4 linked regions of the Oreochromis niloticus genome follow. The main gene of each other region encodes a partner of the protein of the gene in region 3 in a complex. Links are inferred from orthologs where the notes say so. Each region holds a gene or a part of one and is shown on either strand. Other genes may lie near its edges. The genes, in order: sf3b2, sf3b4, sf3b1 and sf3a2.

What was found.
Region 1: sf3b1 (region 3) and sf3b2 share a complex: the UniProt entries of both Homo sapiens proteins name them as parts of the SF3B subcomplex of the 17S U2 SnRNP complex. The link is inferred for Oreochromis niloticus from reciprocal best matches to the Homo sapiens genes SF3B1 and SF3B2.
Region 2: sf3b1 (region 3) and sf3b4 share a complex: the UniProt entries of both Homo sapiens proteins name them as parts of the SF3B subcomplex of the 17S U2 SnRNP complex. The link is inferred for Oreochromis niloticus from reciprocal best matches to the Homo sapiens genes SF3B1 and SF3B4.
Region 4: sf3b1 (region 3) and sf3a2 share a complex: the UniProt entries of both Homo sapiens proteins name them as parts of the 17S U2 SnRNP complex. The link is inferred for Oreochromis niloticus from reciprocal best matches to the Homo sapiens genes SF3B1 and SF3A2.

Annotation. Positions count from the first base shown.
Region 1 is NC_031967.2:24,041,323-24,049,340, forward strand, and holds the start of sf3b2 (splicing factor 3B subunit 2), read right to left. Parts: upstream 3,008-8,018; 5' UTR 2,953-3,007; coding exon 2,823-2,952; intron 2,374-2,822; coding exon 2,327-2,373; intron 2,094-2,326; coding exon 2,043-2,093; intron 1,337-2,042; coding exon 1,112-1,336; intron 883-1,111; coding exon 832-882; intron 1-831. UniProt on the Homo sapiens protein: Component of the 17S U2 SnRNP complex of the spliceosome, a large ribonucleoprotein complex that removes introns from transcribed pre-mRNAs.
Region 2 is NC_031985.2:19,772,824-19,780,763, forward strand, and holds the start of sf3b4 (splicing factor 3B subunit 4), read right to left. Parts: upstream 3,005-7,940; 5' UTR 2,952-3,004; coding exon 2,918-2,951; intron 2,073-2,917; coding exon 1,944-2,072; intron 1,859-1,943; coding exon 1,316-1,858; intron 1-1,315. Other genes in the region: lix1l (LIX1-like protein), read right to left, coding at 7,443-7,694. UniProt on the Homo sapiens protein: Component of the 17S U2 SnRNP complex of the spliceosome, a large ribonucleoprotein complex that removes introns from transcribed pre-mRNAs.
Region 3 is NC_031987.2:32,303,560-32,310,492, reverse strand, and holds the start of sf3b1 (splicing factor 3B subunit 1), read left to right. Parts: upstream 1-3,918; 5' UTR 3,919-3,978; coding exon 3,979-4,006; intron 4,007-5,413; coding exon 5,414-5,586; intron 5,587-5,797; coding exon 5,798-5,899; intron 5,900-6,023; coding exon 6,024-6,138; intron 6,139-6,463; exon of another isoform or gene 6,464-6,933. Other genes in the region: coq10b (coenzyme Q-binding protein COQ10 homolog B, mitochondrial), read right to left, coding at 1,625-1,722. UniProt on the Homo sapiens protein: Component of the 17S U2 SnRNP complex of the spliceosome, a large ribonucleoprotein complex that removes introns from transcribed pre-mRNAs.
Region 4 is NC_031982.2:13,069,707-13,077,700, reverse strand, and holds the start of sf3a2 (splicing factor 3A subunit 2), read left to right. Parts: upstream 1-4,983; 5' UTR 4,984-5,125; exon of another isoform or gene 5,126-5,151; intron 5,152-5,757; 5' UTR 5,758-5,828; coding exon 5,829-6,026; intron 6,027-6,137; coding exon 6,138-6,184; intron 6,185-6,289; coding exon 6,290-6,399; intron 6,400-6,520; coding exon 6,521-6,570; intron 6,571-6,861; coding exon 6,862-7,002; intron 7,003-7,092; coding exon 7,093-7,161; intron 7,162-7,725; coding exon 7,726-7,994. Other genes in the region: plekhj1 (pleckstrin homology domain-containing family J member 1), read right to left, coding at 730-820, 2,585-2,651, 2,746-2,813, 2,988-3,140, 3,346-3,460. UniProt on the Homo sapiens protein: Component of the 17S U2 SnRNP complex of the spliceosome, a large ribonucleoprotein complex that removes introns from transcribed pre-mRNAs.

The sequences.
Region 1 (8,018 bases), on a different chromosome or scaffold from region 3:
GCTCTGGGTCACGGGGTCAGAAGTCTGAGCAGAACACTCTCACCCCAGCCACCTCTTCCAGCTCTTACAGAGGGACTGGAGGTGTTCCCAAGCCAGCTGAGAAATGTAATCTCTCCAGCATGTCCTGGATCTGCCCCGGGGCCTGCTGATGGTAGAGGGTGCCCAAAACACCTCAACTTAGAGCGGTCCAGGAGGCAATGACATTCAGATGCCTGAACCACCTGGTGGAAGTGGTTCTATTCTGACCTCTCGTGAATGACTGAACTCCTCACCCCATCTCTAAGACTGAGCCGAGCCCGTCATTTCTTTGGTGTCATTCTTTCAGTCACTATCCACAAAATGTAACCACACGTGAGGGTGCCAACACACTGGTAAACTCATGGCCTTGCTTTCATATTCAGCTTCTCACAGCATCCACCATGCTGATTCATCTGTCACCCTCCCGCTCCACTCTCCCTTGTTTGTGAACTAGATACTAGATCAGGGGTGGGCAACTCCAGGGCTTAAGGGCCGGTGTCCTGCAGGTCTTAGATGTGTTCTTGATCTAGTCACAGCTGATTTAAATGGCTAAATTACCTCTTCTACATGTCTTGAAGTTTTCCAGAGGCCTGGTAATGAACTAATCATTTGATTCAGGTGTGTTGACCCAGCGTGATATCTAAAACCTGCAGGCACCGGCCCTTGAGGCCTGGAGTTGCCCACCCCTGCACTAGATACTTGAGGTAGCAACGTGTTCCCACACTGAATTGGCTTTTCCACCCTTTTCCAGCCGAGAAAATGTACGCAGCTCATTGAGAAAATATTTCAATTTAGAGTTCTTCATCCTCTTACCCTTTTCTGTTGCTCCAAAAGATCTTGTTCATCCATGACATGGGAATCACCCTGAGATAGCCACAAACAATAACAGCCAGTCAGACAAAACATGCTTTTTAAACTGTTTTCTGTGTAGTGCAGTTATTGCCGTGTTGTTATGAAGTTATAAAAAACATTTATCCTGTCAAATTGTGGTTTACGTTATGATCACATCTCAGAATGTTACTTTGTTTAATAAATGCAAAACAAATTGGCAAAAATGAGTCAAACAGTAAACTTTAGGTCCAGCTATCCTCACCTGCTTGGCTCTCTCCTCCTGCTGTAACAACATGGCTGCTCTATGCTGAGCCATCTTCAGCTGATCATCCTGTGTGAGGCCAGGTGGCAAAACAGAGTGGTCCATGCCCATGTGTATACCAGGTGGAGGGGGCCCACTAGGCATCATGCTCATAGCTGGGATCATACCCATACCAGGAGGCATGGGCGGCATGGGCATTGGGGGTATGGCAGGGATACCTGGCATCTAGAGAGAAGGAAATACAGGAGACTGTGATGTTAATGGGAAGCACGAAGGACTGAAGTGAAGTCACACTGAGACTGTGTGACTTTCTAGGTGAGATATTAAGGCGTTCAGTGAATTCTCGTTTTTGTTTTGGTGAAGTGTTTCTTAACACCATTCAACATAGTTCTACAAACACATGACAAAACATACTCAACTGTAACAAATTTGCAAGACTGAAAAGTTATGATTACATAAAAGCGACTTTCGGCTGCTCCCTTAAGGAGTTAAAACAGCAGGTAGCTCTGTGATATGTGATTCAGAAGAAGCCAATCCTGACAGAACCCCAAAGAGAATTGTGCCTCCTCCTACAACAGGATCTTTTGCTTTTTAAGCAAATGTGTTACACTCTGTAACAGCTTTAGTAACAGTTGCAGAGGAACCGAATGGCTTGTAAAAATGGGCCATACACCCCATATTATGGAAGATCCCCCACTGCAAGGAACCAGATTGAATGCCTTCTCCAAGTCTACAAAACACATGTAGACCTGATGGGCAAACTCACACACACAGCCTCAAATATGCTTGAGAGCTGGTCTAGTGCTCAAAAACTGCACAATCTAAACACGTAAATCAAAATATAGAAAACATTACATCGACACATTGTAATGTTTTTCACCATTGTATGCTGCAGTATTAAACAGACATCAGTGTTTTCCCTCTAATTTACCTGGGAGCCCATTTGTTTATCATCAGTAGGTTTGCTGAGAAGAATCCCAGTCTGTGGAGGGACACATGTAAAAAACACAAACCAGAACAGTTTCTTTGATTTCAATGAAAAGGAGAAGAGGTTCGAGAAATAGATGAATAGTTTGGATATACTATTAACTTCTGCCCAGACTTTATTCATTACTACTCTAGCGTAGCGTGAAAGGTCATCAATAGTTACAAAAAGCACCATCATTCCAATCAGCTGCACGTTGACTGAATAAAACCGAATCCAAATGCATTTACCTGCATCATGTAGCCCTTCAGTCTGTCAATCAACTCCTCTCTGGGACCTAAAGAGGAGAAAATGAATCGGAAACGGCTGTTAAACAACGCTGATATCACTTTAGGCGTGTAAAATGTGCACCAATAATGTGCCAGAAAAACTCAGAACTCATTTTGAAGTTAACGAGTTACAGAAAAGTAGGCTAATGTTGACCCCTCCATATCAAGTTAGCAAAGCAGCTAAACCGCTGAACTAGTTACAGAGGTAATACGAAGGAAAAAACCTAGCCAAACGCTCTTAGTTTTACCCAACATGAATCACAAGAGTTAAAATGTCACTTACATGATTAATTAGTGCATGAAATTTACTTAACAGAGTGTAAACATAACTCAGGCCTAGCTTAAACTCCTTGCAACGGAAGCGTTGCGTTTTAATGCTACTAGCTTAAGTTAGCAACGGACTAGCTGCCGATAGCCTGTGATAAGGCGTAGTGCTCTACGCGGGTGTTTTTCTTACCCATGTTGGGTACTCCAAGCTCTGCCAGCTTGCCCTGAAGCTCCGGGATGCTCCATGTATTCAGAGCTGCAATAGCACTCCCCAAATCGGACGGGAGAGAGTCGGTGCCCGGCGGTCCGTCGGATGCCATGTTGAGGTTAGCTCAATGGAACAACGGCGGCAGCGGAGGACACGCGAGAGCTGGGGAAACACGCAATGCATGACGGGACGTGAAGTCTGAAGAGAGATTTTTTTTTAATTAAATGCACTGCTACTGCAACATTCAGTCAGATCAAGTACTTTCAAAATATACATTCCCAATAGGACAAAACATAAAATGGGACAAAAATCATATTCTTCAGCTGCGTCCAATGCATTGTGCGGAATAAAAGGCATTCCTTTCAGACACATCACACAACCGAGTCACCCTGTGTTTGAACTTTGGCCATCAGGTAAAAAGATACAGACTAATACAATCCCACACAAACAGACGCTAATCTGTGCCCCCAATCACCCCCCTCACCCCCCATACACTGTGATAGTTTACACTGTTTACAACTTCAGTACGATCTTATTAATTTATTTTCACTATTTGTTCTTTTCTGATGGGCATAAACGCGCTACTAACTGGAGTCGCTAGATGTCACCGTTGGCTGCTTAGACTTGAAATCCTTTAAATGTTGCCGTTAGAAGAATAAAGAACTTCCCTATTTTTACATTTTATAGCTTACAAGTCTACTGACCTTTTAAAGTAGGTATAAAATAGAAATACTGTGCGTAACTAAACTTCAAATGGAGTCTAGCACTTGGTAAATGTGTCCTTTTTAGTTAGGCTCAGTATTTGTAAAACCATAGAAAGGGATTTTTATCTTTTAAAGGGCAGCATAATGCATATAAACGCGCACTACCATAATGAACCACAGCATCAAGTAAAATCTGCTGCAAACAAAGAGCACTACATGAGAGAACAGCGCACGAATCCCTCCCTTTCAGTGTAGTTTTATGACTTGCGGGCACTGCGCAGTCGCATTGGAACGAGGGCACACATAGCGGCAGCAGGGCGTTTCTTCTGTATAGAGAAGAGGGGAGGGTACAAGGAAGGGTACATACTAAACATGGAACGGAAAGCATGTTGTGAAGTTGCATGTTGAATTTCCGTAACAAACTTTTTTTTTTCAGAGGAAACGCATTGCAAGGTAAATATGAGATTCATCCTTCAACATCACTTTACATCAGCAGTTTAGTGTCGGGGCGCAGGGAAGTGCACTGTGCAAAACGCGTTTGTCCTCCTGGTCTGAACTTTTTTTTTTTTTTAAGAGCAGAACTGGAAGTTTGTGAGTTGTTGTTTAGTTTAGTTTGTAAAGCCGGAACAAACTACAGTCAAACACGAGTCTGGCCCTGGTTTCACGAGAGTAATAACCAAGAAATATTACTAGCCCACATTAGTGTGCTGTTGATTCCGCAAAATCTGCTTTTCCTGTGTTAATCTTTATTAATTTTTTTTTTTTCACCGTGACTGATGGAAGTGAAGGGATAGGAAATTCGTCAAACAGCTGTTCGTGTTGCTCATTGTTTATTTCTTTCATTTCATTTTTTTCCCCGGGACCACACCTATCTATCTGTCATAGGAGCTTTTGCTTATCTGCGTGAGCCATGCGCCCAACTTAAAGTTTTATTAAGAGCAAAATCTGCTGGAGCTGAGGCGCATGCTCTAACGAGTATTCTCTAATTGTAGCCCAGTGTTTCTAAAGGCTGCTTGTTTTCCCTGCAGACTTTGATGAGAAAAATGACTCTCACACAGAAGTCAGCATGTTCCCTGCAGCGGTCACTGTGTGTGTGTGTGTGTGTGTGTGTGTGTGATCTCTCTGCTGGTCTATTTTCTCCAAACACTTTGGATATTTTATCACACAGTAAACTGTGTTGGAACATGAACCCCTGCATGCAGAAATACACCACAGGCGCTCAGAAGGCTTACTCATGCCACAAACTCTTGACTCCACCCTCCCAAAGGCAACACTTATTTACTATCAGCATGCATTTAATCAGCCCAAGTCGTGAGGAGGAAACTGGACTCAGACAGTCATCGGCAGAAAAGCATTAGTCACACATAGTTGATGATTGCAGTGCTTTCACAGCCTTTGCATGGCTGCACAACCCCTATGTTAAAGGAAACATCCTGCTGCTGTGCCAAAACAAATAAATAAAAGAGCTGGGTTATAGGTTGGATGAAAGTGCACATTTTCAGTTTTCTTGTGATTATACTAAGTGTTGCATTGCTAGACGATACGGTAGCACATTCTCTTGTGCTACCACCCACATTGAGGGGGAGGCTAAGCGCGTGTGTGTGTTGGGATGTGGCGTGAGGGTATGCAGGCTGCATGTATTTCTCATGTGAGGGGAAGTAAAATATTCATTAGAGTCAGATTGAACTGTTGTTGGGTAAAATGTGCCCGATGGCAGCCAGCAGAGGTAAAAACCACACAACTGAGGTTTTAACAGAACACGTTATGATCCTTTGTTGTTGGTTTAAGTAATGGGGCCATGGGTGTCTTGTCATAAAACTAACTTAGAGTGACATGCATATTGAAAGCGTATGAGTAGTTGTTTGTGGTTTGCAAGTATTTCATGGTAATGGGTGTGTTTTGTGAGGGGCAGTGTTTTTTTTCCTCACAGAGCAGTCACCTGACACACTTCTGCCTACAGTCAGTAGCTCCTCCCGTTCTAGGAAAAGTTAAGTTATAGGAGTGCTCAATCATTTCATTCAGGTGACAATGCGACTACGTTAACAGTGGGGAAAAAAAGATGTAGAAATCAGGTGTAACTCCTCCTTTCCGCCACATTTGGCACATCCCTCGTAGGAGGTTGACTATAAAGCTTGTACAGAAGGGTCTGTCTGGACAGGTTCCTGGGATCAAACTAGAAGGTGCAGTTTAGAGGAGAGGTAAGAAACAAACACATGGGCCTGACATGAATCTGAAAACTTTCATTTTTAACCAGACTTTTGTTAGGGTTAGGGTTAGACTCAGCAGTGAGGGGAAGAACAGGGACAATTTTATTAATGGTAATAAAGGGATAAACATGGTCAGCAGGATGGATCCATGCTTTCATATTTTTGCCGTATTCTGACAGTAACGTTCTAATGTTGTTGCTAAAATTGAGTCTCATTAGAGCAGAAAATTTCCGATCATCTATTGTCCAAATCTGCAAATCCTGTGCGAACTGTAGCCTCAGTTTCTTGTCCTTAGCTGATGGGAGTGTCACACTGATGTAGCCCGTCTGCTTGTTGTGTTTGTGTTGTGTGTTTAGAGACGCTCTTCTGTTCACTTTGGTTATAAAGAGCAGTAATTTGAGTTACTGTTGGCTTCCGATCACCTCGAAGCAGTCTGACATTTCCACTTTGACTTCTGACATCAAGAAGATTTTCACCAGAGAACTGCCCCTCGCCAAAATTTACTCCGTTTTGGCTCACGCTGTGTAAACTGTAGAGATGGCTGTGTGGGGAAATCCCAGCAGATTAGCAGTTTCTGAAATACTCAGACCAGCCTGTTTGACAACAACCGTGCCACATTCAAAGTCACTTAAATCACATTTCTTCCTCATTTTGATGCTCAGTTTGATTTCCAGCAGGTCGTGTTGACCATGACTAAATACCTGAATACACTAAGTTGGTGCCATGTGATTGGCTAATTAGATATTTGCATTAACACACAGTTTAACAGGTGTAACTCTAGAGGCCACTTCACTAAAGGTATTTACATGTCCACATTTAATTTGTACATACATTTATATAATAAAGAAAAATAGTGTTGGCACTTGTAGTGATGCTAATGCTAATATGTGGTACAGATGCTAAATAGCTCTTTATAAAGAATGCAGGAGGAAGCAACAGTAGTTGTTACAGCGGTGGCAAAAGTGCCTTTGTTATTGTGAGTAATAATGCTTGTGGTAAGAAATATAATGGCAGCAATAGTTGTGGGTGCAGCCATTAATCAGCGCTTCCAGCTTTGCTAGCTGTAGCTTTAGGGGTCTATTAGCAGAAATAATGTGTAGTACTCATGTACATGATCCTAATGTAGTTTCATCATGCTAGCATGTGCAAAGACAAGTCTTTGTGTTGTGTAATTTAACAGATGAGAAACCTGCTGTCGCAGCTGCATGCTCAGTTTTTGGCTCTCTTAGCAGCAACATTCTTCACACAGTCAAATGGGCCATCTTTGTGGGTGTGGTTCACTGTTAGCAGGAGGAGGAAACTCTTACATGGCCCCACTGCTACACAAGCCAGTGAAAGCCACATTCTTTTCTGTTTCTGCTGTGACGGACACCTGTGGACTGAAAACAGGAAGTGCGTATCTTTATGTGCATATCTGAGGTGAGGGAGTGAAAAAAAAAGCTGACAGAGTTGAAAGAAGATAAAAATAAACGCCTTCCACTCTGTGTTTGATGGAAAAGACGCAGACTCAAAGCAAAACAGTGAGACTAACTCAGTCCAAAGCTCCAGTTCTGTCTGTGGTGGCACTAATGATAGTTTATGCTTCCTCATCCCAGCCTCTGCTTAATTAAAGCGTCACACAGAGAGCTCGTGCTTGTTCTTTGCCTCATGCAACCTTTATCGTAATTCACACAAAACCACACACGCATCCTCCTTTGTTAATGTGCTTTTCTGATTAAACATTGACTTTAAATGTAGTTCTCACTTACACTGTGCACACATTCAGTGCACCACAGTAAAAGTTGGCACAGATGTGCCATGTGTGTTAGGCTTTTCTAAGAATGCATGCGTGGTTGACTTCAAAGAAACAAGGAGACCTCGTTTCACATGGAGGGTGTTCACGGCCTGTGCTTTTGTTCTCTGATGTATGTGTAGATATTGGTATGTACAGACTTGTATCTCACTGGATAACTTTTTTACTCTTGTGCTCAGTTCCTCACTTTCAGCTTCTTTTTTGTGCAGGGTTTGGCCACTGCTGTGATAAGGACAGGCTGTGATCCTGCACGGTGGGAACTTGCCAAAAAAAGAACAGACGAGGACTAGTGTTATCTGGAATTGGATCTTTTGCACTGAGGAAGACGTCTCTGCTGTGACAAACTTGGGATTTATTTTAGCTCCTCCGTTTTTGATTGCAATCAAAGCATCCAGCGAGAGTGCAACCACATGCACCACAAGCAAGCAGCAGCCTAGCCTCATCAGTGCTTAATAGCGTCTTAATAGCTACTGAT
Region 2 (7,940 bases), on a different chromosome or scaffold from region 3:
AGCAGAAAAAAACATGTTTTAAGAAAGCAATTAAGTTAAAATATGATTGTTTGCTTGCAGGACACCAGGAGAGATGAGTCCTCCGTCACAGATGGTGTGGTCAGTGAAGATGGTCGCCTGCAAGTTCAAGCTCATTGCATCTCCAACCATCAACCACTGCCACTGTACTTAAGGGAAGTTAAAGACTTTCTTCTGCACCTACATTTGGATCACCTTGATCCATGACAGTCATTCAGGCAGTAATGCCTGGACTAGAAACAAGCATCCTTAAAATAATACAACATTCCAGCTCATGTGTTGGAATGGAAAACAAATGTGTTGTTTAAATTAGAGACTGCACTTGTGACAGAACAACAAATATTTTATTTTGATTATATAAGTAATGTAAGTACAAAACAAACTTGTGGTAGGCCTAAACTTATTTTCAGAATAATTACATCTGAGACTTTGTTTCATTGTAAGATTATAACAGCGATGGCAATATAATTGTTTGTTGTTCAGCAGAACAGTGTCCATTTTTGGCTGTTATACTTTGTTGTGTTTGAAAATAAAAGTTGGGCTGATTTTAACATCATTACAAAAAGTGTTGTTAATTATTTTTAATCATATTCAGGTTACCACAAATTGTTTTTTCATTTAGTTGAACTTGAAATGTTTGTTAGGTAAACAATTACTATTGTACAGTCAGAAATATCAAGTTATTGTTAATACTGCAGACTTGCAATGTCTAAGTTGTCCTAACAGTCATCTTAAGTAAGCTTTACTTATTTTTTTTGAGGCAACGAGTTTCCATAATTTTTTTGAGTTCTGGGAACTAAAAAAAGGCTGTACAGTGTACTCAAAATGAGTAAGTTGCCCTAACTTGGTCATCTGATGTAAACTTGATCCAATCTTTTTGAGTTCTGGGAACAAATGAGCTTGTACAGAATACTCAAAATAAATAAGTTATCCTAACTTAGTCATTTTTAGCTAAGCTTTACTCAATTTTTTTGAGGCAACGAGTTTCCATAATTTTTTTGAGTTCTGGGAACTAATTAGATTTTACAGTGTAATGTGAAAAGAGATTAAAACTCATGAGGAACAAATTTTATTCTTAGACCACTTCAGGTTGATTACTTCTTGTTCCTGCTCCTGGAAGTAGGTCAAGTTGTACCAGACACCCAAATTCATCTTGTAAGCTAATCACTTAAAATCACCACCTATTAAATTCTTATTAATGGAAACAAGATTTTTCCACATTACCTGATGAACGGTGCCTGAAATGTTGTGTAACACACCGCAGTAAAACAATAAAACAACTTCCATTTGCTCTTACCTGGAATGGCCATCGCAGCTCCCAGTGTGGTCAGGACCGGCGTTGGAGCCGTTGGCGGTGGAGGAGCATCTGCAAACAGCTGGTGAGGCCTGTCTGCCTGGGAGAGTGGATTCTGAGCGGCCAGGAGTCGCTCTGCGGCCGAGCCGTGACGCTCTCCTTTGGAATCTTTCTTGAAGGCGTACGACACTGTGATGGGCCTGTTGCAGAGGTACTGGCCGTTCATGGCCTCAATGGCAGCATCGGATGCATCGAAGCTGGCAAAATTGATGAAAGCATAACCCTTCGAGTTGCCGGTGTCTGGATCTCTCATGATCTTTGGCGTCTGGAGGATCACACCAAAGGCACTGAACGTGTCGTAGAGCAGTTTCTCATCAATCTCTGGGTCCAGGTTACCGATGAAGATGTTAGCACCGACATCCAGGTTTTTGTTGTGTGCAGAAGCTTTATTAACCCTGATCGGTTTGCCATAGAGCTTTATCATATTCATGATTTTGATGGCATAGTCAGCATCCTCTTCACTGAGGAACTCCACAAAGCCATAGCCTGAGAAAATAGCAAAAACAGTTAGCTGAGCTTGTTTTTGGTGATCCTTCAAAACACGTGCCAAAAAGGTGATCTGATTATTTACCTTGATGTTGGCCTGTGACTCTGTCTTTGGGCATGTGTGTGTTGACCACAGGACCAGCCTGCAGGAAAAGCTCCCATAGTAACGGCTCAGACACTTTCTCATCCAAACCACCAACATATACAGTGGCATCTGAAACATGAAGAGAGAATAAACCTCATAATGATCAGTGCATCATCACAGGTCATCAATCTCTTTTTTGTGGACACATGTAAAAGTCAATAGAGATACTTCAAGAATAGAAAAAATATATAATATTTGGAAATAAATTACTTAATCAGTGAGATCCAGTCCTTTGTGTCCTTTGGAAGCCCTGCTAATATAATTCAGCTGGAAGATGTGTACAGATAACTATGCGTTGTGAAACTACCGGATAAAAGATTTTAAAATTAGATACTTGCTTTTTCTTAAAGTTCCTTTATTGCCTCTCACACTCTCCTCATATTTAATATACGTGTACAATATTTATTATGCAAACTCAAACGTTTAGTGTTTACATCTAAAATACCGGTATCTAAAATCCTATATACCCACATCAAGAAACAGTCCCCGTCTAAAATCAGCACGATAAGAAACAAAGAAGTTTAATATGTTTAACTTGACCGCCGAGTGAAGCTACAAGCTATGTTGTTAGCTTCCTCGGCTACTTGTAGTTGTTGGTCAACTAGACGTTAAGTCTGCTGCTAATTTGCTCGCAACAATCACACTTCAAAACAACCCCAAACCAACGCTGAACTCTGGCTTATATATAAGTGACAAGTAAAAGGATGAAAAAATCTGAATGAAAAGCAAAATCAGCGACATGCTAAGCTAGCGACAACTCAATGTTTCCATGTGATCCGCCGGTTGTTTATCACAAACTGCTGTCTAAACGAGGCAGTCAGTAAGTAAATCTGAGCCGGTTCCGGTGAAATGTACCAGCACTTTTATGAATGAGGAGTGCAAATAAACAAAACAGAGTTTAATGATGAGTTTACCTTGGTTTCTTTCTGAAATTGGTCCCGCTGCCATGTTGAATGACCAACGCAGGGGGAGCGATGCACAATGAAACCCCGCCTCTTCCGATGCTGTGTAGCGGAAGTATAAAATAAAAATTCAATTTAATTTAATTTAATTTAATTTTTTCTGGTATGATATTAAATGTCGGATTTTAAAGAACATAATGTGAAAAACGAGTTCATTCCAGCTTGAATTGAATTTGTTTTATTTTTGTTTTAATTGCTTCCGGACACAATTTACCAAACAAAAGTGTAAAAATTGACAATATTATAAATGCAGTGGATTTCCTTATTACTGAAACAACTAGTCTCACGTTTCAATAAGACATAACTAGAGAAAAAATCCAATCAACTTACTATTATTTTATTTTATTTTATTTTATTTTTATTTAATAATAACAAACATAATTAATTTGTTTCTCAAACATAGTCCAGGTACTGAGTAGCTGATTTGTGGGTAGGTAGTCAGTGGGGTTGTAGTACTGTGTGCAGCCAGCACACAGTAAGGTAGCATTTCCTTGATGCTAGTATGGACAACTGTCTGGATCCCCTGCGATCCTCTTGGCTCTAAGTCTGCATCATTTCATTTATATGTCACCCAGATTTAGGAGATTGAACTCGATGGTTCTCTTGATTTAAAACAACCCCCCTGAGAACCAAGCAACCTAGACAAGAGTTTCAAGTCCTTTGATCATCTGAGGTAATAGAGGCAATTGGTCTATTACAGTTGTTTTTACTTTGATAACTTTTGTGGGCTCTGAAAGAGGAAAAATAAATTCACCAGTATTGCTCTGTAATGTTAATTGTGTTTGGTTTTGATCAGAAACAGTGCTACGATGCCTAATTTAGACTGTGGGTGGGATATATCTGTTATGCCTTCTGGTGGCATTTGCAAGTTACTGCATAATTTAAAAAAAATTAAAGTGAATGAAATTAGTGTTTTTATACTCTAAAAATCTGGAATATGTCTTTTTATTAATTTGGAATATTAAATTATTACCAGTGTGTGTGTGTGTGTGTGTGTGTGTGGCCTTGATTTTCAGTCACTGAAAACAAGTGGCTCGACACAGTGCCATTTGTAACAGCAAATTTATTACATATACATATAAATCTACTAAAAGTATAAACATGGAATACAAAATCTTCATAGAAAATACAAACAGTAAGGACCTCGAGAAACACTCTTATAAAACAATACTGTATAGAATATGAAACATATAAAACCAGAACTTAATCAACACATCATGCATCAAAGCAAAAAAAATGAAAAAACAAAACAAAAACATGCAGAGCCAAAACTGTTTTTTAGGAAACAAATAGCAAAAAACAAACATACGGTTCAAAAAACCTTCAATAATATTGATAACAAAGAAAGATCAAAGGCATTTTTTACAGAAGGAGCCTTGAGATTAATGGCTTGTGGCTATAAAAACAAACAAACCAAAAAACCAACCCAGATGTTGAGCATCTAAATTGAAACAAACTGCCTCAGCCTCCTTCCCGTTAAGCTGTTCATTAAAACACTGCTTGAGATTTCCTCATTAATCACATTTCCTCATTAATCTTAATTGAGTCAAAGAAGGATAAAATCACTGAAAGTGTTTCTGCATATGAAATCCTGGGAATCTGTTTAGTACCAAGTTTAAAATTTACTGATTTGAAATTTACACATTTGAAAAAGAGAAAATACTAACCAGGACATATAAAGTTGACTTTTTCAGTCAATTTTAAATTTGCATTATTCATTAAAGAGAACTGCAAAGTCAGCATTTTTATATTTGCGCCACACACATATGCTGCAAAGTGGGCACAAAGAAAGAAAACAAAAACAAAACCAGTATATAATGTTTATAAATTTATACCAAAGGTAATAACATTAAATACATCCTTCACAATCTAACGGCATGTAACATATTGAGGAAATGATTTGATAAAAACACTCTGCAGGTACTGGAAGTATTACCCAGCACAGACGCCACTTCAGACTGTAATTAAAAGATGGACGTAGCCACCATGTCATCGCCCACTGGTTTGGAAGCCTTGCATTTGGCATTCTGGACTTTTTTGATACCAGACATAACAAACAAGTGGTGAGAAACTGGGACTGTTGTGGAGGGCCGGATCAATAAGCTTATGAAGAGTGAAAAATGAATACTGAGCAGAAAGTAGTTCAGCTTATTGATCCGGCCCTCCACAACAGTCCCAGTCTAGCACACACCGTATTTTATCATAGTCAACACCAGCTCATAATATACCAACAGACATCATGCTGTGTGTTAAAAGGGACTTTTAAAAGGGACCACAATGACATAAGGAAAGTATTGACTGAGGTCAGTCCTTCCAGAGGAGTTGACAATTATAAAGAATGCAGGTTGAAGGCACTTTTGCACTGGCTTCACTTTTCAGACTACGGAAGCTTGTTTGCTGGAAAAACAATTTTAAAAATCGCCATCCGTAATTTGAAATTTCAAGTTAGGTTGAAATTTAGCTAGCTCTGCCAATCAGAAAGCTCTGTGAAGGTAGATCAATTCCTTGTCATGAGCTGTCTAACATTTCGACATGAACACGTTGATTCCACACCTTTTATCCATTTCTGCAAAGAGGCATTCAACGTTTGCTATACCTTGGTAGCTCACAAGCTTCTGTATTAGACAGAGAAGCTATGTCCATCTTTTATATACAGTCTGTGATTCAGACCAATGACGTAACATTGGTCAGATTTTGTTACCTTTGGGGCTGAGTGTGGGAACTTGTTTACATCCCTTTTCAGTCTTTATGCTAATCTATGGTGAGGCGGCTTTATTAAGCTTCATATTAACCAGACCGCCCTGCGTGTAACGTCAATCAAATTCTCAGAGTAAATTTCCCCCAACTATTCTTTGTAACAGTAAGAAATTAACTACATGTGTAAAGATGACTGTTCAAACATTGCTAGCTACCATTTTCATAAAGGCACAAAGACTCCAGAGATGAGTTATAGAAACTTCCTGCACTTTTTCTTTATTTGTTCTTTCTTTATATTTCGTGTAATCGAGTTCTGCTGCTCACAATCCAGCATTCAGCAGCAAGAACGAGCCCTCCTGCTGTCTGACTTTCATTACATCCAAAAGAGCCGTATCACATCAATTAAAACTTGCGTGGGGTCTTTTTAATGCTGCTTGTTAAAACGCCTTTATCCCTACAACGTATAAAAATGCATTTTATAAAGACGAACAAATATAAAGTTATGACATTTACGGTAAAAAAGGGTAATAAATGCCTGTTATATTACATTTTTTTGGCATGCAGACATTACAACGCTGCCAAAACCCAATTTCTCCTTCCAGTATCTCAAAAAAAACCTTAGACCACAGAAGCTGGCACTGTTCTGACTACAATGACTCAAAACTGATGGTTCAGCTTTCAAAAAAAAAAGAAAAAAAAAAGCCCAACTCATTCTCTGGCCTCCATTTTTTAACTGCTGAGACCCTGACCTACATTTAAGTCATAACAAACACTCACTTTGTTTGAACTCTACTAGCTGACCAACACAATCTGCATCACAAGAGCAGATTTGTAATTTTTTTAAGTCGTGTTGCTTTGCAGGTCCTTTTTGCTGATAGCGCATTAAAATGATACATTCGGCTAGTGTCATCGTCGCCAAGCAAGCGCCGAAGCTTTAAAAAAACGCCTTTGCAACAAAAGCTGAAGTAAAACGGCATAGTGGTGGTTTAATATTTGATCTTTTTTTTAAACCTGAGCTGCTGTCAGAGCATCAATTACCTGCTGACATGTTTCTTCTTTTGCAAATTACCCACAAATTATTATTACATGAGTCAATAAGTGTATTTCTGTGCTTACTGGAAGTCTAGTATTATTTGAGGCTGCTTCCCATAATAAACCTGTAGGAGCAGGTTGCACATCCATTACAGAAAACCGGTGATATTAGCTGGGATCTTTTATCCCCTTCATTCATATCTTGCTGAGTGGGTGACCTCTGTTCCTGTGCTTTATTCATGAACAAACACAGGCTTCTTGCGTCATCAATTTTGGCATCTTCCCATCCCGAATACTACAACCAACCAAAACAAACCGAAGCCGAGAAGAAACACACGAGCTACACCTCATTAGCGTTTGGTCTGATGGGTCATTTTATGCCCCGTACATTCACTGATCCATAAAGGCTTTGTCTCCATAGGTCTACTTTGAGTAAGTACAGTATGAAATAATGAAAACAAAACATGTAAATCCCAGTCACATTGAATGCCGAGCACTTTTACAGGCATCTAGAAAAAAAAAAAGCACTGTTATCCTGTAATTACTAGGCACAAAGAGGTAACGGGCTATAGCGGCTAGTATTTGTTTTATGGACAAGATGTGCATACTGTAAGTCAAGGCTTGATTACCTGGTACGCGAAACGAAACAAAACCTAAAACGTTCTGAGAAGTCACCTATGAAGTGATCAATACTGTTACCAGGAATCCTACGGAGTGCGAAGGCATGTTTCCATATCGGACGGTTGGTTTAGTGTGACGGCAGAGTGGCGGTGTTGGCTGCACTGAGCTGACCCACAGCTAACATGAGGATGTCCTTCTTCTCTTTGTAAAAACGCAGTTCTCTGCCCGCCAGCCTGGCGTCCTCTAGTTCCCGCTCTGTCGTGGCCAGCTCCTGCGCAATGGTGCCCGCTACGCTCTGTTCTCGGTTCACCCAGTCGGCGGCCATCTGAGTGCGCATGTCATCATCCAGAGCCCGATGGGAGTAGTGAGCCAGCACCTCCTGCAAGTTCAGCCAGAAAGAGTCAGAAGATGTGATAGTGGGAAACAGCATTCCCAATCAGATATTCCTCCAGCATCAGATTCTGATGCTGAACTTAATAAGACTTCATCACTGTCTATAAACAAACCAGCCAAGAGGGTAAATGTTAAGTAATAAGACATAAAATTTAAAATTATGTCTGATGGCAAGTACTGTGGTACAGTGTCTTCCTCCACCCCTCAATTCTTTATATTTTCGGGGAAATGT
Region 3 (6,933 bases):
CCACTGCCCCTAAACAGGAACCTATTCACTCCTGTTTTACTATCTGAAACATGATACATCTGACCTCTAAATGTATCCTGGGTACAGGCTGAGAATGGCCCAGAGCAAAAGGTGAATGAGACATCTCAAACTCCACAAAGGTGCAAAGCAGAATTAAACCCAAACAACAGACAGCTGGACAATGAGTTCATGGAAGTATACAAATACACTGAGAAACTAATTAAAGTAGCACACTTTGGATTTGTTTAACACGTCTTTAGGAAAATGTAGATAAAAGCATTATCTTGTTCAATTTTAAGGGAGCAGATAATGTGCTGTTGTTTAGGCTAAGGTAACAAGTAATGTTACCTTGTGATGAGTAAATATATAGGCCATACAGTAGCAGATGCTCATACTAAAAATGACCGAATTTTCAAATAATGAGGTCGGTGTATGTATAAGTACACTGTGTGACCGAAAACCTAAGGCTTCAAACTGCTCTAAACTTAGAATTTCAGATAGCCTCACTATGGTCATCTCAGGCACACAGCTCTGGCTGTGAGCACAGAAACCCCACCCACCCACTGTTCAATCAGAGGAAAGATGGCTTAAAGGAGGGGGGTGGGAGATAAAATGGCTGAGATATAGAGAATGGACTGGGGACTGGACTAAGACCAATATAAGAGATAACTAGCTGAAATAGAAAAAAGAACCTAGACTAATCATCTGAAACACTGTCTGCTTAGTGACAATAAGGAGTATTAAACATATCTGCATGGTTTATAATATACTCTAACGCAGTCAGCTTTTGAGGTTAAAGAGAGGCTGTTGTATAAACAGATAATGACTGACAAACAGTAAATTAATATTATATATGCATCACATGTGACACAATAATTGTTGAAAAGCTGCTACAGGTTCTGGTGATGGTTTCATTTACCACATGGAACTTAACGATTTTAGGAATATTTTCAGACTGTGCCTGCATGTCGTTTTTACTACACTGTTTTGCAAATCACAGATAATCGATGCTAATCGTTACGATCTTCTTCATCGTGGGGTTTAAGTATGTAAAGTTCAAGGTTTCCATGTCTTCACCTTGGCTGTGCTATCAGCAGTGTTGGAACGTAAAAGAAAAAAAACACTACGCAAACATAGTAATAATTAAAGAGCCTGGTTTATAATCAATACACAAATTATCGTGCATTTTTGTAGTTTACGCTAAGACTGCTGCTCTCCACAGGAGAATGCATATAGAGTAAAAGAAACTGAAATCAGCTTTACTTTTCTATGCGTGAAAGTGCGACAATTTAATGTTTCAGTGAATATAAATTATTGTGTAATGTGCTATGCGGCTTATCACAGCAACATCGTGACTGTAGTACATTTGCTATAAGTATTTCTACACAGGTAAACCAAATACTACTTTTACCCGACCCTCATTTTACTACTTTCTACCATCTACAGAGATGTAGTTAACGAATTCTTGAGTTAAACAGGGCCGTGAATCGTACACCGCCGCAGTGTTTAGCTACCCCGTACCAAAAGTGAGTAACTTTGGTACAAATGCTCGTTTTAGAGGTATGTCTTCATATTTTACGCCGTCTCGTTTCAGACAACAACTTGAAAAAGTCAAACACTTTACCTAACGTTGCTTCTGTTCTGGATATCCCGGTTGGCTGTGGACGGTAACTGTTTTATGCACTCAGCTACTTTTCTCAAGTTCCGACCGCATCTCGCCATCTTCTCTTCTTCTTTAACGGCTTTGTTCACTCCCTCGCTATCAACCAGTTGACAGGGAGCTCTACGCGCAGTTTGGCCCGACCCTCAACAGGCCTAACCCGCTTGCCATTGGACGATCTGTGGCCACCGAATGTTTTTATTGGGCGGTCCCGCCGTTCGTCACGCCAACGTATTCAGGTTCGTGTGCACGAGCTCGCACGCGCATAGAGTCACGAGTTGTTGGCTCGAGTTGCTCTATCGGCCGAGAAAACCGGGTGAAACCTGTTTGTCTTTGCATATCAAAACTATCAATAGGTCAACGTGTTGACCTGTAGACTACACTACACCTTCTTTGTTGTCATTTATTCCTGCTCTGTTGGGCAAATTTGTTAGAATACAGTTTCTACTATTTTTGAATAACAAAGTGAAAGAAATATTTAAAATTCTTTGCAGTAAGGAAGACATTGAAAGTGAAAGTGAACAGGTTTCTGTCTGTGTGCTTTTTTTTTTTTTTTACCTTTTTAAAAAGGAAAGGGGAGCTGTTTGCATATACATCAACTCAGGGGTAAATTATGAAAGTTTCTTTGCTTATCGTGATACATTATATTTGTTTTACTAACGTGTAAGGTACATTTATTATATATATGAATAAATATTGAATGAAATGATATATGCCTATAGGCACTGGTGTTCTTGTCCAAAATACATGTTATAACATACACTTTAGTAAAGCTCATGAAAGTTAAAAAAAAAAAAAGAAGTTTTTTGGGGGTTTAGGTTGAACACAGAAACACTGTCAATTGTATAAACATTTCTGCCCAGTCAGGGTTGTTTGTGGACACTTTGGCGGCATTATTATTATTCAAACTTTGACTTCTGTGTCAAGTACCTCACAGCTGGTGGTACAAGTTTTTCCTGCAACGACATGCATCTTCTGGCATCTTCCTGCTGAGTCACCAGGTAAAACTCAACTGTTTTAAATCTAATCAGTCACTTTCCCCACAGCTATATTCCTCATCCTTCTGTTATAAACACTCGTCACTCACATATCTAGTGTCATGTAGCTTTCTTTTCTAATAACCAAAATGCAAGGCTGGGTCCTGAAATTTCATTTTCTGTGAAAAGAAAAAAGCTTCACAATTAGCTCCACAAGTATTGTCTGTAGTAGATGGACTGCTCTATATAGCTTTTCTACTCTGCTGGAGCACTCAAACTCAAAGCGCTTTATACAGCATGTGTCATTCATACAAGCACTTTTTTCTGTGCTTTCCAACATTCACACAGAGTCATACTTCCATGCATCTGAGAGCAACTCTGTGTTCAGTATCTTGCCTAAGGATATTTGCCATGTAGCCAGGGATCTAACTACTAGCCTTTGTGGATGATCTGTTATACCTCGTGAGCTACAGCCACCCCTGCAGTGTTTCAGATATAGGTCCTCTAGCCAATAGGAGCACAAGAAAATCTAAGAAATAACAGCTGGGCATTTATGAGAAAGGGACATAAACTATAATAACAGGTGTTTTGTACAGACATTTGGGGAAGAAACTTTACCAACCATAGATCTCTTTCAAAGAAGCCAGTTTCACATGAAATAAAAGGTAAACACAGATATTAGTAATGCGAGAGGTTAAAAGCCTTGACTTGAAGTTAAGGTTGTGAACCAGGTGTTAGAAAAGCCTTATGTTTAGCTACTGCTGCATGCCAGAATAGCCCCTGTGAAAAACAAGTCTTCAAAACAACAAAACCTGTCTTATTATCCTTTTCACTTCTGTTTGTGGCATGCATAGTGAAATTACAGGCTTTTTGGTATACGTTTTTACAAAGCAGCCCAGTTACAGGCTTTAATGTACTCCAGGAGACAAAGAAGGAGCTGTGCAAGGAGATATTACTGATTTCTGTCAGGCGACATTCTCCATTTCAATTGATAAAAGTCTGTCATTAAAGATCAGAGTGCTGCTTCTAGCAGAAACATCTGGGAAATCTGAATAAAATAAGATGAGAAAGGTCAATTGGAGGGCTGCGTCAATTGAGATTTTTTAATGGGGTTTTAGGCTAGTGGACATTATACATCATACATGGACGGAAAGTCACATACTAATTGCTTCACTGTATCTACAACTTTTATAAGTATGTCAATACACTACGTCTAATACTAATCCTACTACTAGCAATATAACTACTGAGCGATTGAAAACTGGTCTGAGAACAGCTGGAAAGACACGGAACTCTGAATTAAGTCACATCCGGTTTCAGTCTCGAACAACCGCCACCAAAATGGCGAAGATCGCCAAAACGCACGAAGGTAAATTACTGCTAAAACTACCATAAATATGTTCTGTTTTACCACGTATTTTGCTTTATGGTGTCAGTAAATATTGCGGTAAATTTTCTGGTATTTCTGTTGACGGTAATGCTCCTGTTTATTTGCGAAATAGGCGATAAGCACCAGGCCTCATACGACGCAACGCGGAGCTTTAGATAATGGCGCTGGTGGTTACCGCTTAGCTTTCTTGTTAGCTGGAATGGACTATTTTTCTCAGCTTATTGCACACTTGCATGCAATAGTGGGCGCCATTTGGGCTTTTTGTCTTGGTCCGATACGCCTTTAAGCTAGTATAACTTGTTGTTGTTACTGTGTAATCCAAGGTGATGGTAATTCTTTAATGTCTCAGTGATTCTCGTGGCTAACCGAGTTAGCATTAGCAACCTCTAACAAGCGTTTACCATGCCTACAGCAATTGGTGTCCGGCAGCAGACTCTGATATTAGCTTCATAATCGATGTTTAGCAGGAATATTGAAGGAAATGACCGAGGGCGTTTTCTGTAGCAAGTATTGGAAATCGTTAACCCTTTTCTGTAAAATATTCTAATGCACTGTTTGGACATGACTTTGAGAGTTACGTGACCCAGTTTTTGTTTGTGAAAGCAGTAATTATGATGTAAGTAACGTTTATTTTTAAAGCGCTTTTCACAGGCGTGCATTCATAAAGCCCTGTACTGCAAAATAGAATAAAAATAAATACATAAGTTTAACGCAACCTCACAGTAAAGTAAATAAACTTTACAAACCTAATTGTAGTGCAGGACTGTTCCAGTGTCTTGGTACCACAGATCATGTTTACATCAAAAACTACAGTCACATACGGTGATATTAACAGGCAGAGTGTAAGGAAGTATTTGAGCTTGATTTAAGGCGTGAAAGCGCAAATAAAGGCCCGTTTGCTAGTCTTTGCCAATCAGTCCAATTCTCTGTGTGGGGTTAAAGCATTTTTTAACGTGTAAATCTCTTTGAGAGCATCGTTTGCAAGTACAATACCCCATCTGTTTTTTCTCCTTGCTAAGAAACGCTGAAGATCCTCCTGATTAAATGTACAAAAAATTCCATGATGAAGAGCTAAAGGCTTTTTTCTTCTTCTTTTTTCCTTTTATGAAGCATTCCTTTGTTTCCCTGTGCCAAGGGATGAACTAAATAGGGGGGGAAAAGGAAAAATATATGGGCATGTTATCAAATTTTACAGTACGCTCTATCACACTGGTTTTACACCCTTATCCAGCACAAACTGAAGTCATGCCTCAGATAAATTTCAGTAAATATAATATTTATAGATTAATCAATTCCATTCACCACTGCTGATACCGGGGTGTATGTCAGTCATCCATGCTTACCTATACAGGTGGTTTTTCACCATGTTTCCTTGTGTCCCTACAGATATCGAGGCCCAGATCCTAGAGATCCAGGGGATGAAGGCCTCCCTGCTGGAGGATGGAGAGCAGGGAGTGGGCCTGATCTCCACTGGCGTTTTTGACCCAGAGATCTATGAAGGCAGCGACAGTCGCTTTGCAGGATACGTCACTTCCATTGCTGCCAATGAGCAAGAGGAGGCAAGTATTTATTTATTTTTATTTTTTTTCCTTTTCCAAATCAAACACAGCTTCTTCCGAGAATGCTGTTTTGTGAGCCACAGGTTGTCCTTTGTCAGTTTTGTAAGGAGCTTGACTGCTCCCCTCTGCTTGTTTTGGGGATTTGAGCTAGGAGAACCTTGCCAGTTTGGCAAGATTTGAATAGACTCATTTATTCTCTTTCTTACCTCAGGATGATGAAGATGATACGTCAACAAGCTTGTTGGGACAAAAGAAGCCAGGGTACCACGCGCCGGTGGCAATACTTAATGCCATTCCTCAGTCAGATGAACAGGTATGTTCATTCACTGTTTGGGCTAAATTCCAGTTAAAACAGGGATCTAATTTTAATGAAAAAACAGGCTTGTACAAAATCCTATTTTACTAATCATCGCATGTTTTGTGCTTAATCTTTGCAGTACGACCCATTTGCAGAGCATCGTCCACAGAAGATTGCAGAGCGGGAGGATGAATACAAGGCTCGGCGCAGACAGATGATCATCTCTCCTGAGCGTCTCGACCCCTTTGCAGATGGTAAATTTTGCTCTTTTGTGACCTTTTTACATCTTCCCAAGTTCCTTGCCTCCTCCCCTTCTTTCTTTTTGTTTTCTTTGTTTTCTGTTTTTACACCAATAGTTTTTACTGTTCAACCCTTCGACCACAATGCAATAGCTTGCCTCCCAGACTCAATGCCTTCCCTGTGGTCAATCCTTTCCTCCATGTACATTTTGTGTCGCTGTTTTTCTCCCACTATTAATTTCCAACTGTTTCCAACAAATGTCAGTGTGGGCTCACAATTCATTTCCATAATTGCAGTTTGGGACAGTGTTGTTGGGATTTTAATTTGGTGCATGCATTAAAGGTAATATAGGGTTACCATGCTTTTCAGGGGGAGAGGTGGTTAGGTGTTTATTGCCTAACAAACATGGGTCGCAGATGGGTTGTGTGTGAGTCGAAGGGTTAACAACCCAATGTGATTTATGATGGGAAAGTGCAGTGTCCGCTTGTCACAGAAGTTGAGGATGAAGGTTAGCTCATTTAGCTGCCCATGTCCTGTGCTTTACCACACTGGGCACAGCTTTATAGGTGAATATAAAATATATAAGAGGAATATCATTAATATGCTCTGGTGGTAGTTGAACCAGAAGCATAATTTTAGTTCATAAATCTCTCAAGTTTCTCTGTTATCTGGATGCAGTAACATGACTTGTCAAAGTGCAAATTGTCTTGGGCTTCAGCGTAAAGCGCTGCCTTACAAGTAGGGCTGTCCCGAATATCATATTTTTGAGCTACAGCAGTTCAGAGTTGATCAAACTTTGTGTTTTTCAG
Region 4 (7,994 bases), on a different chromosome or scaffold from region 3:
GAGTATTATGCATTCCCAGTAAGCTTTAAAACAATATGTCAGAGCTGTTATGGATTAGACTGAAGCCGTTTAACAGTCACATTTCTAACACTGTGCCTCTGAAAACAGCAAAATCATTCATTTGTGACAGTTTCACCCATGTGAGTCTGTTACTATCTGAGGTGTCACTTGCTCTACCCACACTGTTCAAATGGCATAGATGTGTAAGCATATTCAGCTGTGCAGAACACAGCTTTTCATTATTTGGTTATTAAGTTAGAAAACACACACAAAATGCTCTTCCTTTAGACTTTATGAGCATATGTAGTCAGTACAGCTCTGTGTTTTTAAATACGTAATATAGCAAATTAAACAAATAGAAAAAACAAAACTACTCACTGTGGGGGTTAAGGGTTTTACTTTTTTTGTCTTGACCATCACTACCGGCACCATGCTTAGTTTGAACTTCAGCAGATCATCATGACTGTGTTTACTTGGCTAACTCCAATGAGTTTCTGTCACGTGGCTGGTTAAATATTTGCTTTAAAGCTCAGTTTAACAGGTGTAACTATTGGAGTACACAGTGAGTGTGTTCTGACCTTTGTGGGATATTATTTGACACCCGATCAAAAAAATACATTTGGTTTAAAAGTTAAGTTTTTCTCCATTTATTAATCACTTATTGACGGCTGTAAGTATCTGTAAGCTTCTGTGCTCCCTGGAATAAGAAAGAAGAAAAGTCAGTCCTACCTTGCTTTGATAATGGAGTCTATCCACTCGGCACACTGCTCTTCAGTATCACATTCAAACACATACTTCCTCTCTGCTTCATCCAGAAATGCTACAGCAAATACAGGGCATTAGAGATCAGAAACACATGAAGGAAACCAACAGAAACAGCAGAGCGCAGGTGAGAAAGTGAAAATAAGTCAGAGTGAAATATACAGTTAGGTCAATATGTTTTTGTAGTTTTGCTTCTATATACCACCACGGTTCATTCTACATCAAACTATTACAATATGACAGAAGTGCAGACTTTAGCTTTAACTCAATGTATTTAACAAAAGTGATGAACTGACTGTTTAGGTATTACAGCCATTTCTTACACAGTCAAACAACTGACTGCCAGTTTCATGACCAGGTGTGTCCTGTTTCCTTGTTCGATGACAAGATAAGCAGATAAAAAGTATGCAGTTGATTCCAGATGATGTTGATGAAGGCGCAGGAGGCCGAATAACCAAAATAAACCTAAATGAGAGACAACAACAACTGTAGGAACAGCCAAATGAGCAATCTGGTTCATTCTTAAAAAAAAGAAGAAATGCACTGGCCAGCTCAGCAACATCAAAAGGCCTTAAAGGCCACAGAAGACAACTAAAGTGCTTGACTGCAGAATTATTTGCATGGTTAGGAAAAACAACGCCAAAACATCCAACAACATCGAGCCAAGAACACTGTTGTGAAGGTAGCAAATCAACATAAGTCTAGAATGAAGAGACACCTTCATGAATGGAAATGCAGAGAGTTTACAACAAGGTGCAAACCACTGGTTACACTCAAGAAAAGGAAGGCCAGATTAGACTTTGTCAGAAAACATCTAAAAGAGTCTGCTCAGATCAAACCAAGATGAACTTGTACCAGGATGATGGAAGGAGAAAAGTACAGAGAAGGAAAGACACAGCTCATGATCGGAGGCATCACACATTATCTGTCATACATGGGCATTATATGGCTGCCAGTGGAACCGGATCACTAGTGTTTATTTTTCCTCCAAAGGGAGGAAGTATGTAATCGGTACCATTTGTCTGTCTGCTTGTTAGCAGTTTAGTGTCCACGGTTTTCATGATATAATTTTCACATTTGGTGTGATGGTAGATACCAATAACAGCTCGAGTTGATTTAATTTTAGTGAAAATTGTGTCAATGTTAAAGTCACACAGAATATGAAAAAAAAGCTGTAAACTTTATATCATCCACAATTTTTTTAATGGATTGTCTTTATCTTCATTACTAGCACCCAAGGTCAAAGTTGACCTTGAAAACCATTTTAAAGAAATCATATTGAGTAATATATCATATGAAAGCACATGGAGAGAGCGGTACAACACACTTTCAATTGTCTCAATACGACACCCAATGATGTCACAATGATGCCATTAACAGGTTGATGTCAGCATGTTGTAATAAAGACATCATAAAATATAACAGTTTTAGTACAGCCCTTGCTCTTCGGCGGGAGTTGCACTCTGTGTCTGCTGACAGAAATATGAGCAAAAGCAACTCAAGAGATTTTTAAGCCAAAGAAAGGAATCGTCTTCAACTGAAGTTGGTCACCTGATCTCAACCCAATAACACAAAACTAGTAACTGAAGGCGGCTGCAATAAAGACTGTTTTATAAAAATGGCTGTAACTCCTAAACAGGTAACGTGACATTGTTGTTATAGCCCCTGAATAAAAGCTGGGAGTCTGCGCTTCAAAGGCATGTTCATTGTTTGATATAAAAACCACTGGGGTTGTGTACAGAGGCAAAACTACCAAAAACAAATCGGTCACTTACAGACTTAGTCACTCCTAACTGTACCTCTAAAGGATGCTGTAGCTTACCAATAGAGAAAGTCTGGCTGTCCTCCCTTTCCACCCTACACTGCTCCAGCAGCAAAGCTCCAATTGGCTGCCAAATAAACACTCAGTTAATTTTGACCCCCCTTTTGAAACAAATGTATTCAATTTATCACAGAAAATGCTGTGACAACAAGCATACTGACCTCTTCCTCATCAGTCCGGAAATAAAAGAGGAAGTTGACGACGAGTTTCACTAGCCTCTTCTTTACAACTGCAAGGCCACAAAAGGGAAGTTAGACAGACAAACTCGTCTCTACAACAAACACAAAGCAGCCCAGCTGTCGCATGAAGTATACAGAGAGAGATATGTCTAATATCTGATGCTGACATTAGCTGCTGTGCCCAAATACACGAAACGGAAGTGCGTCTGAATGACTGTCCTTACCATCTCCTTTCTTGGGACCTCTCATCCCCAGTTCAGCTGCTCTCTCCGACGGCTGGCGGCTCAGTAACACCAGCTCCTTCTCGTTGAAACGCATCGCGGACACACACAAACACTCACAGGCTGGACAGACGGACACACGCAGGTACACGGATGCTAAAGAGGACCCGTACCCCCAGTCGAAAGCATAACACAGGAGTTAGCTAACGGTAGTACGGTGCAAGGACTATATTGTATACACCGCTGAGTCCACGTCGCTGCTTCGTTATCTAACGTCCCCGAAACCTGTCGGACTGCGTTTGATCATTTCTGTGGGTCAACTGAAAACAACAGCTCTGGACTTCATGCCACACTCACACACCTCTAGTAATGACACTCCTCTCTGCCGAGGTTGTCTTCTTCCTCTTCTTGGTCAGGCGCGTTACTGCCCTCTGCAGGTCAAAAATGGCTCCTTTGTTCTGTGCAAGAGTCAGCATTTAGATGTTTCTTATCCGGAAACAGAGGCCCCAGCTTCAGTCTGGTTAACCTAAACATTTTCCGTTTGGTTTGCACTAACTAGCGTACTAAGGTACACTCATAGGCCACTTTGTTCATTAAAGTAAATATGTAATCATGTAAGCATGTAGGCATGTTCAAGATCAACTGCAGAAGTTGAAACCGAGCATTAGAGTGGGGGAAAAGGCGATTTAATAGACTATGAATGTGGCATGGTCTAGGGCTGTGCGATATGACCAAAATCTCATATCCCGATATTAAGACATCTATCGTCCGATAACGATATAAATCACAAAAATGTAACATTTTCTGTAAATTCTGTGAATGTCGAGCAGCTCGACTTGCGTGAAATGTTTCCAGCTGGGCGTCGGGTACCTGGAGTCGAGTGTTTTAACTGATGCATGAAACGATACATTTTTAGACATAGGTTGTAATGGCCGCCGTTTTCTTTGTGAGTATTTATTACACAGCGTGCTGCGGGGAAAAGCCTGTTCTAACGTTTGAGTCTAAGGTTTATTTTTTAGCACCTGATGGCTCATTTTTGCTTCTCATCCGTAAATACTCTGCATCTTTCACGTGATTCAGTTTATTTTGAAAAGTCTCAACAGGATCTTGAGCTTTATTGTGAAAGGTTTATGTGGAAAATAAACAAGCGGACACGAGGTGGTTTTACCGTCGTTGTTGCTAACGACAAGCATAAAAACAAGCGCTTGTCCGTCTGTAGTGTGGTTATATTAAATATAAGAGAAAGAGAGAACTTTAGGAAATAAATATAGCCACTACAGTGACCATCAAAATAATGAAAAAATATTGCCGTAAACAGTTTATTTTGCGACACCATGAAACAAACGATAGCGTAAAATTAAACGATAGACGTTTTTATATCGTCATCCGATATATATCGTTATATCGAAGAGCCCTAGCATGGTCTATGGGGATTTTCCTGCCCAAGGATCTATAGCGTTTTACAGAGATTCGTCCAAAAAAAAAGAAGAAATCCAGTGGGCAGCAGTTCTCTGTAATATTCTTGATATTTATAATTGAACATGTGTCTATATTAGTGCTATTTCTTACATTTGTAAACTTTGTAATATATTGTATTATTTCATTACTTTAGTCTGTTACTGTTATTGGCTTGGAGCAACTGAAACCCACATAATTTTGTTAAGGATTATTAAAGTATTCTGATTCTGATTCTCTGCTGGTATTACAAATGTATTTGTAATGTCTTTCTAATACTAGAGGTCAGCGGAGAATGGCCCCTTAGCACCACAGCTTACCTGAAAACTAAACCGAAACTAACAAACTGTCAACTACAATGAAATAATTGTTTTTAAATGCAAAACTATAAAACTTATGTTTTAGAATTGTGTTTCTACTGAAAATGAATTAGGAAAAAAAGCCAGAATTTCTAAATGAACCACTGAGCAGTTTATCTTTTTAAATTAATTAATTTTTACCTCCTGTGTCTGCTGCTGTGAAACAATCAGAAATTTAAGAACAAGAAGTCCCCCCTCATAGGCCCAGCCGTCGTGTTGGCTGGAGATCCAGCCCAGCAGGTGGCAGTAACACACCAGAGGGTTTTTTACAAACCACCAAAACCCGGGAAAAAGAATCTACTGAAGCGCATGCGCAGAACAAATCAGGTGAGCGTGTCGCTGTCGTTGAGCTGGTGAGTGTTTTGATAAAGTAATCTGATTGTAGTCTCCTAAAATGTTTAATTTTGTGGCTAACGGATGTGGTGATTTTGCATTTTTAATATTCACTTTAATCATCTGTATTTGTTAAAAGCTTTTCATTATTAGTTGGCAGCACCATTAGCTTAGCATTAAAATTGCTAGCGCATTTAGCGGCTTTTGTATGCTAACATGCTACAGCTAGCTAGATGTTGTTGGGATCATTCGCAGAATGTATTTCTTTTGTAATAATGGGAAGAATTTTTTTTGTACGCTGGTAAATTGCCACAGATAACTTAACTTGGTCCTCTAAAATCCGCTGTTTGGGCCTTACTCCGCAGTGTTCATGTTGACTCTTTGTAAGGAAGTTAGCATTGGGAATCTTCGTATAGAGGGGATTGTAATGACGAGCTGCTTTTAAAACAGGTTGTATGACCCATGTAGGTTTGAGCAATAAAAATGTGTCCAGGTTAGAGCCTTAGCTAAAACACAAGTAATAATGCCAATCTACACATGATGCTGTTGTTGTGCTACAGCCCTGGAGTGCAGGGTTATTAATGTCGACCTTCACTGGCAGTACTTATTGTTTTATTTTTAACCAGGTAATCAGGGGAATCTATTTGGAGTAACTGTCCACATTCGTGTGACTGTTTGACTCCAAAACCTTACAAAAATGGATTTCCAGCATCGAGCTGGAGGGAAGACGGGGAGCGGAGGGGTGGCGTCTGCCTCTGAGAGTAACCGTGACAGGCGAGAACGGTTACGTCAGTTGGCCTTGGAGACCATTGATATCAACAAAGACCCCTACTTTATGAAGAACCATTTAGGATCATACGAGTGCAAACTTTGTCTGACACTTCACAACAATGAGGTGAGGGACACCTAATGAGACATTTCTCTGTTCACTGAATTTGTTTTTATTTCTTGTCATCTGGGTGTCTTATTTGAAAAGAAAAATCAAAAATGTCTCTCTGTATTTCAGGGAAGCTACTTGGCTCACACACAAGGAAAGAAACACCAGACCAATCTGTAAGTCCATAAGTTATCTGTGCTACAACACAGAAGTGCAAGAGCTGTTACTTTATGTTCTGATTTAATTAAAGTTGCTGGAAACTGTTTACATACATTTTTCAGAGCACGGAGGGCAGCCAAAGAAGCAAAAGAAGCTCCTGCTCAACCAGCTCCAGCCAAAGTGAAAGTTGAGGTCAAGAAATTTGTCAAAATTGGTCGACCAGGATACAAAGGTAGGCAAGCTCTGGCATTTTATATGGCAGTCACAGTTTGGTTTTTAATACTAGTTTCTCTACAAAATACATTGTCAAAAAAATTAATCTTTTTTTTTTAATTTTTATTAATTATTCACAGTGACCAAACAGAGGGATCCAGAGACGGGACAGCAATCTTTACTTTTCCAGGTTTGTATATTTTGAAAGAATGCATATAATCCAGTACCCTTTTGAAGCCGGGTAAATAAGTTATTATTTGTGTGCTTCAAACCAAAGCAAAATGCACACTTATTCTTTGGATAATCTGGTGAGTTCTGCATAAATGTGGCAAACTCAATCTTGTTAGTCAGTTGGCGAAAGGAGCTTTACACTGAAACTGGGTCACAGGAACAAATCATAACCTCATGCTCTAACCTGCAAAGTTTCGTACCACAACAGTAAAGGCCATGTGTTACTGACCTTCTTTTCTTGGCCCATCAGATTGACTATCCAGAGATCGCTGAAGGAATTGGACCCAGGCATCGCTTCATGTCCGCTTACGAACAGCGCATTGAGCCTCCCGATCGTCGCTGGCAGTACCTGCTTTTTGCTGCTGAACCATATGAGACCATTGCTTTCAAGGTGAGACCTGCACTTTTCTCTTCCCCTTATGTTTTTTTTCTTTGTCATTTTTCCTTCACTCCTGTAATAACAAGATGTTTGCTGTTTTAGGTACCCAGCAGAGAAATTGATAAAGCAGAAAACCGCTTCTGGACCCACTGGAACAAAGAAACTAAACAGGTACCAGCTATGTTACAGAGTGCCTGCCAGTAGAGTTATTAGGTCCAGTTGCCAGAACCAATGGGAGGGGTGAAGCAAAGTGGGCACACTGTGTGTCAAAAACAGAAAAGCAGAGGTGTAGATTTAGCTGCTTTTTTTGTGTAGAAAAACTCTGTCTGATAAGATGCGCACCTTGGGGAATTTTTCCCCGTCTTTCCGTATGAGAAGACAATAATGTATCACAGAGTGAGAGAGAGCTCTGAATCATTGTTTACCTCATTTACATGCAACCTAATCTAATTAGTAAACACATGTGGGTGAATGTCAGCCCGTGGGTGAATGAAGGTAAAATGGTCTCTTGAACTTGTTTATAGTTCTAACTTTTTCAAGCTGTTATGCACAAATAGCAGTTGATAGGAACAGTGAGTCAATAAAGTGAACTTAATATTTGTTCTATATGTTTATTTCTTCATCTTAAAGATCCTTGTAAAAAGTTTCTGTGATATACAAGTTTAAACTAGTGGAACTTGTATATTAGTTTTCCAAAAATGTCTTTAATTGTTCTTTTTTTGTTTTTCTATCCAGTTTTTCCTACAGTTCCACTTCAAAATGGAGAAACCTGTTACCCAGTCGAGCGGTCCAGCACCTGCTGCCACTGTGAAGCGTCCTCCTCCCCTTATGAGTGGAGATCACCCATCAAACGAGTCTCTGCCCCCTCCGCCTCCAGGGGGAATGCCCGTCCCTCCTCTCCCGCCTGGTGGCCCAGGAGCCCCTCAGATGCCCCCACAGATGCCCATGCCCCCCATGCCAATGAGGCCACCCCCTCCAGAGGGCCTTACATTAGCTAATAACTG